2 linked regions of the Oryzias latipes genome follow. The protein of the gene in region 1 interacts with the protein of each later gene in a biochemical or structural test. Links are inferred from orthologs where the notes say so. Each region holds a gene or a part of one and is shown in the gene's direction. Other genes may lie near its edges.

Evidence for each region.
Region 2: the proteins of lztr1 (region 1) and kras form a complex in vitro, tested with the Homo sapiens proteins (2 studies listed by BioGRID, with this or other methods). The link is inferred for Oryzias latipes from reciprocal best matches to the Homo sapiens genes LZTR1 and KRAS.

The regions. Positions count from the first base shown.
Region 1 is NC_019867.2:13,323,481-13,327,839, forward strand, and holds the start of lztr1 (leucine-zipper-like transcriptional regulator 1), read left to right. Parts: upstream 1-1,512; 5' UTR 1,513-2,260; coding exon 2,261-2,412; intron 2,413-2,500; coding exon 2,501-2,563; intron 2,564-2,637; coding exon 2,638-2,694; intron 2,695-2,769; coding exon 2,770-2,849; intron 2,850-2,933; coding exon 2,934-3,042; intron 3,043-3,140; coding exon 3,141-3,224; intron 3,225-3,353; coding exon 3,354-3,411; intron 3,412-3,504; coding exon 3,505-3,644; intron 3,645-3,714; coding exon 3,715-3,916; intron 3,917-4,233; coding exon 4,234-4,344; intron 4,345-4,359. UniProt on the Homo sapiens protein: Substrate-specific adapter of a BCR (BTB-CUL3-RBX1) E3 ubiquitin-protein ligase complex that mediates ubiquitination of Ras (K-Ras/KRAS, N-Ras/NRAS and H-Ras/HRAS).
Region 2 is NC_019864.2:21,729,485-21,732,446, forward strand, and holds the end of kras (GTPase KRas), read left to right. Parts: intron 1-808; coding exon 809-928; 3' UTR 929-933; intron 934-2,164; downstream 2,165-2,962. UniProt on the Homo sapiens protein: Ras proteins bind GDP/GTP and possess intrinsic GTPase activity. Plays an important role in the regulation of cell proliferation.

The DNA.
Region 1 (4,359 bases):
GGTGTTGCTTTTCTTCTGGAATATGTGCTTATATTCACTGTAACTCTGCAGCAGCACGTCAAGTTCAGCTGGCGAAAAATACGCAGACCTCTTTTTTTCACGGTTGCCATGGTGACTCGTGATATCTGCGCTCCATTGATAATGGCTTCTTATAGTCGCGGTGCTCACGCTCACCTCTGAATCAGTCCACTCAGAGTTGATTGACCTAACTCCGATCAGCTTCCCTGAAACAGAAAACTCAGAGTTGTTAATCTCCCGATTGACCAACTCAGAGTTCAAGTTCAACCTCAGAGTTGGTCGAACCTCCTTTCTGAAACAGGCCCAAGGCCTTCAATCAACAGGCTACAGCAAGCAACTATTTCGTTTAAAAATGATTTAGGAATAAACTGATCAATTCTGTTTTGTTTTTTAACCATGGAGAATGACAAGCCGGTTGGGGTAAGTTTAACTCTTCAGCACCTGCACTATTTTGGATTTGCATTAACTATAGCTTGGACATTCACATTGGCTGCTTAGTTTATATGTGTTTATATGCAGGCTCTAATAAAACTCAACGGGATCGGTTTTGTTTATAGCTACATGGATGTTTCGGTCCACATTACATCTCTTTTGACCTGTAAAACAAAAAACAAAAAAACAAACAAAAAAAAACGTGATGTCACTTCTGCTGACGGCTCGCGGCGCCTCGTGCCTCCTGTCGGTCACATCATGTACCGCCTGAGCGGCGCTTAAAGCAACTTTTATTTCAGATAGAAAGTAATACCTTTAGAAAAGTCCCCAAAATTAAAGACATGCAGTTCAAAATTATTATAATTAAATTATAAACAATTACTGCACATCGGCAGAGACATTGAGGAGTAGATTTGGCTTTGAGGTACATCCGTGTGATTTCTGTCATACAGTCCAAGATACAACCAGACACCTGTTTTTTTTTATCCAAAGATTCTGGCAAGATTATCATAATTGGCCTAGTCAAAAAAATTAACAACATACAATTCACAGAAAAAGATATTTTGTTTTATAACAGTTAGCGAACATCCTCCTGATTTTGGGAAAATATCATATTCATAAGAAAAAGTGGAAAAAAGATCGGCCGAATTTCCTGTGTTTTAAAAATGAAGTCAGATTGTATTTATCCTCATTGAAATGTATTCACAATTCAAGTCTTTTCATTGTTGACATTTGTAAATCTGCTACAGAATGGTTACAGATCTAGGGTCCAGATTGTTGATTGCCTTATGCAGAAAGTTTTTTATATATTTTTTATATATGTATAAATTCTTGTTTTTTTTTTTTTAATCTTTGTTTTTGTGAAGAGATGTGCCTTGCATCATTGTGTGGTTGTGTCTGTGAGAGTCTTGTAATGATTATATTTAAATTTAAAAAAAGAAAATAAAAAAAAGAATACCTTCACACACAAAATTACTGGTTTGAATAAATATAATAATAATAATTGATCATAGGTGGAATCGTATCACTAACACAATACACTATGAAAAAAACACCATTAACCTAAATCTTATTATACCTGAAGGAAAGAAAAGACAAAATACATTTTAAAAGAGAATAAAACACACGAGATTGGAAATCAAATCATGTCTTTTTTGATTTAAAAAAAACACCTGTCAAGTACAATAATAATAATATGATAATAAATCTCCTTGAGTGAATCTTTGCAATAGTTTTGTGCGACAGTTTTAATGACTTATTGGTGGGTCTAAAGATAAAAACAGAAATCTGTAAGTTTCCTAAAATGTAGATATATTTTTTTGTTTAATATATAATGCGCAAGATGGATCGTACATCTTAGTGAACCAGCGGGGGTTGGGGTTGAGCTTGGACGCAGCCTGCGTTTCACGTGGGCGTGGCTTTGACAGCAATGTTTTGCTAGTGAAAACTTTAAGCCTTTATTTTTGCTCCAATTCAGTGATATACATATGTACTTTGACGTGGTGTTGAATCGATTGGGTGGGTTGTGTATGGAAACGTTTTGTGCTTTCCGGTAACCTTTCTTTCGGTGCTAAAGTTGCTTGTTTCTACCATATGAGTGGCCGAAGCTAACTTGCTAGCTAGGTTAGCTCTGACCATAGCTTTAAACGAATCATTGGTCTATTTTCTCCGCCATTAAAAACACGCAGCCTCTGAGTTAAGGATTAAGTAATTGACCTTTTTCGCTATCTAAAAGAATGATGCGAGCAGACGATGCCCCTGCATATAGATGAGAACTGACCCGGTTGGATGAGTTGGTGAAAATCTGAAAATGTCCTGCAAATCCACGAAAGTGGCCCCGAGTGTTGATTTTGACCACAGCTGCTCCGATAGCGTCGAGTATCTGACGCTTAACTTCGGCCCGTTTGAGACTGTCCATCGATGGAGAAGACTTCCACCATGTGATGAATTTGTTGGTGCAAGGTAAACCTCTCCTAAGAGGAAACTAGCCTTCAAATTGTACATATTTTTCATTGTAATTACCTCTGAGTCTTGTGTGTTTTTTATACAGGCGCAGCAAACACACAGTTGTGGCATACAGAGATGCCATCTACGTGTTTGGAGGAGATAATGGGTGAGTTCCACTCCTCAGTAAGTCAGGAGTTTTGCCCCCCTCAGACTGTAATATTGTTGTGTGCCACCCATCAGGAAGAACATGCTTAATGATTTGCTCCGGTTTGATGTGAAGGACTGCTCCTGGTGCCGGTAAGGCAGCTTAAAACAAATCCAAAAACAGAGTGGAAAATATGGTTTAACATCTTCCAATGACTTGTGTCTCAGAGCTTTCACTACAGGAACCCCGCCAGCACCCAGATATCACCACTCTGCAGTGGTATATGGCAGCAGCATGTTTGTCTTTGGTATGTTTATTGTGTTTCTAGTTAGATATATTGACATCACTTGATTTAATCCACTTAATTTGACCTCCAACACTATTTTTTTAGGTGGCTACACTGGAGATATCTACTCCAATTCAAACCTGAAAAATAAAAATGACCTTTTCGAATACAAGTTTGCCACAGGACAGTGGACCGAATGGAAAGTGGACGGAAGGTAACACATTTATTCGTGACAGTAGTAAATTTATTCAATTTTCTTACTACAAAGTCACTGAATTGTCATTCTTTGAGAAACATGTTTGTTTGTTTTAGCTTGCCAGTGGCCAGGTCTGCACATGGAGCCACAGTCTACAGTGATAAATTGTGGATATTTGCAGGGTATGATGGTAATGCCAGGTATGTTTTATTATTATTATTTTTCCAAATCTTTTTTTCTTGCACGTGCAAACACATTTGTTTGCTTTTTAGCAACAAAAACAACAAAAAAACCCTGACACTTTTTTTACATTTATCAATTTTGTGTAGACTAAACGACATGTGGACCATCAGTCTGCAGGATCGCGATCATGCCTGCTGGGAAGAGGCAAGTTACATTTTTTCCCCTTGTTTATTTGAAAGAGAAAGTAATTTTAAATGAATTCTTCAGTCATTTTTGTTTTTTCCTTTTGACCATTAGATTGATCAAAGTGGCGAGATCCCGCCTTCATGCTGTAACTTCCCTGTGGCTGTATGCAGGAACAAGATGTTTGTGTTTTCGGGTCAGAGCGGAGCCAAAATCACTAACAACCTCTTTCAGTTTGAGTTCAAGGGCCACATGTGAGCTCCAACAGGTCAGTTATTTCCGTTTTATTTTCACACAAAGCAGCTCATCAGTCTGTCCTTTCAGGTGGACACGCATCCCCACCGAACATTTACTGCGAGGCTCCCCTCCACCTCCTCAGAGGCGCTACGGACACACTATGGTCGCCTTTGATCGCCACTTGTACGTCTTTGGAGGTGCTGCTGACAACACTCTACCCAACGAGCTGCACTGCTATGATGTCGACTCGCAGACCTGGGAGGTCATCCAAGCCAGCCTCGACAGTGAGGTACACGTTCTATGCTGAAATATGTTGGGGGGGGGGGATAACGTGTGTTTTGAAAATTTTGTGATATTTCCTTTTAACATGTAAAATAGTCATCAAATCTGTCTTTTTGAATTTGGTTAATATTGTGACAGTCAGCCTATAGGAACTTTATTGTCTCTATTTTTTTAATTCATACAGTCCTCAAGCTGTCTGGGTACTTTACACTCTCCACTGAAATTGATGCTCTTTCTGTTCTTTCCTTCTTGACTATGCACATTTGTTTAATAACCCCCCCCCCTACAAAATCTGATCTGTTCTTCTGTCTCACCCCCCCTCAGATGCCCAGTGGAAGGCTCTTTCATGCTGCTGCTGTCATTCAGGATGCCATGTACATCTTTGGAGGAACTGTGGACAACAATGTTCGCAGTGGGGAGATGTACAGATTCCAGGTTTGTCTGAATGAC
Region 2 (2,962 bases), on another chromosome or scaffold:
CAACTGCTGTCTGTTACACTGCATCATCATTCCCATATCAGTCTGTTGATCCACTTTAAGACATGATCTGTGTAGTGTTACTCAATAGGATGAAAAATAGCTGTTTTTCGGAGTGCTAAGCAATAGAATAAAGTTGTCTTTGTTGTGAGTTCATGTCAGTTCTTTATGGTATCTCTAAAACTATAAGGCCCTTCATATCAATCGTTTGATTTATTTTTGACAGCATACTTCTACTTTTGTGTGAAAAGGCAAATCCCACAGAGCTGTGGATTTTTTTTTCCCCATATTTTTTTGCCTCTAAATCAACCGATATGAACAGAGCTACACGGTTATTGCTGAGAGGAGCATCAGCCCTGCATTGCTGTTATTTATTTAGTATTATTGTTTAAATAAATTGTGTTGATTTATTTGAGTTCTCAGGACAAATGTCCATACTTTTCAACAGTTTTGGAATACAAGAAGAAATCCAATTTCCATAGTCCCTTTTACTTCAGTCATTATTTTGCTTAAGAACAGCTCTGCAGTCTCCTCTGCAAAAGCTCCAGGAATAGAAAATAGTTAGTTAATTAGGTTTTATATATTTCATTTTTTTACGTTTTATGGGGAGGAAACTAGACTCATTTCCAAGCCTGCAGAAGCTGCTGCTCAGTTTTCATCCAATCAAACTCTTTGAGTTTTTAAGAGTTTGGAGAGAAGACAAATCCGGCATTTCAGGAGTATCCCCATGTTTATCTTAAAATTTCTGACACCATGAAGAATGTGCTCCTACATTCCTCGCCATTGAGGAGAGTTGTGTCTTATACCGCAGAGAGTGGAAGATGCCTTTTACACTCTGGTACGGGAGATCAGGCAGTACCGGCTCAGTAAGCTCAGCAAGGAAGAAAAGACTCCACGCTGTGTCAACCTTAAAAAGTGTGTTGTGATGTGAGAGGGGTAAGTGTACGCAGCCGCGCACCCATCAGCTCTGTGTGTTGTTGGGGGGAACGGCGGACGAGGGATGGAGGAAGACACTGAGCCAAAGCTGGTGCTTCATGTGGTGTCAAAGCTAACCTGCTGGCTTTTATTGGGACTGTGGTGAGGTTCTAACACGAGCCTGACGTGTTTTGATTTCTTCTATTTTCAGTCTCCATGTGTTGTGGTGGATTATTGTCTAAGGTCATTTTCACACTGGGTTCATCCATCAAGTTTGGGGAAGTTTGATTTGCGCAGCTGGTGTGCTTCTGCATGGATGTCTGAACTCTTTTTCATGGGTTTCTTTTGCCTTATCCCTTCCCCATGGAGGAGCATTTGTCAGTCCTTGTTTCAGCAGTAAAACGACCTCCTAAAGGACTCCTGGCCTAAAAAAGGAATCGATCCAATCAAGTGTTTGGTCACGTTTTTACCAGATTCAGGGAAAACTACCAGTGTGAAAATATCCTTCTGTGCTGAAAGAAACTTGTGTACATGGTTTTGGGTTGCTAAGCCATCTTGGGCGGCTGTAGGTTCTTTTAAAAAAAAAAAAAAATTTAATGGTGAATGTGGGACTAAATCATGCTGAAATATTCATGTCTTTAAAAAAAATAAAAAAGCAAAAAAACAGCAAAAATTCTGACCACAAAGGCTGTGTGTGTTTTGCCTATACGAATCTCTCCATGTCTGTTCTGCATTCTCTGGTTGTCTTCACAACATAAAGTGTCCCAAGGCTCTTTACTCAACAGCTTTTTGCAGATTATTGTCGCATTTCTTGAACTACACAAACTGTTGGAGCTCTCAGACAATTGCGTCAGTGTGGCATCAACAGGCACGAGCTGTATTATAGCACAAAGCCTTTTCTTCACCCCAGCGCGAGAATAAAAGGCTCGTCTAATGTCTCCAGTCTGAAGAAATTCCCACTTAAAAAAAAAAAAAAAAAGCGGTAGCACTGAAAAAAAATGGTTTGAAAGTATTTTTTCTGTTTAAAAAAAAATAAAATTGTCTGTTTACTTTATTCTAAGATGAAAGATATGTCATTGCTTAGACTAATCTACCATGTTTTAGCCACTTGAATTTGTGCAACTGGTTAAAACATCATTTCAGATCCTTAATGTCTTGGTTAAATGTGCATTTTTAAATGACCTGTAACTTTCCAACTCTAACTTTGTACATTTATTTGCTTGTTTTTTTTTTTTTTTGCCTTATTTCCCAGGGCGTGGATGATGCCTTTTATACATTAGTCAGAGAAATCCGGAAGCATAAGGAGAAGATGAGCAAGGAGGGCAAAAAGAAGAAAAAGAAGTCCAAGACAAAGTGTATACTCATGTGAATAAATGCCCCTTTTCAAAACAGAAAAAACAACTTAATAATAAGCAGTTTAAGTAATACATTTTTGTACATTACACTAAATTATTAGCCTCCATTTCATTAAATACTAAACCCGACCTAAATTTTCCTGTTCTTTTTTTCTGGAAAACCAGTAAGCTCTCAGTTTAGTGCCAGTTGCTGAGATGGGTTAGCCCAACAGTTTGAGCTTGATTTCTTTGAGGTGACGGTGTATTTTTTTATTTTTGATTTTTTTACCTAATCATGGAACTGATGTCATCCATCACACCTGACAACACTGTTATCAGCATTAACTCCCCTTTGCTGGAAAAGCTGCAGCTCTTTTCAAGCAGAGGATGCCAAAGAATGAACCCTAGACAAAACTGAAAAAGGGTCATCGCCCCACAGGATGAGGTCCAAAACATTCTGCCACCATGTCCATCCCCTCGCCTTTAAATAGGACTTAGTTTTGTCACTGATAATTATGCATGCAAACTCCTACTCTTTTCCAAGTGTTTAACACCTTAGCTATTATGTTAGCTATTAATAAATTTGTCATTGCTTTGTACTGTGTGGGTAGAATCTTTTTTTATTTTTTATGCCTACATCAGAGGACATTTTTCTTCCTGCATGCATTGTGTCCATGACGACACGATCTGGTCGACAGTCAATATGGAGGATTCCA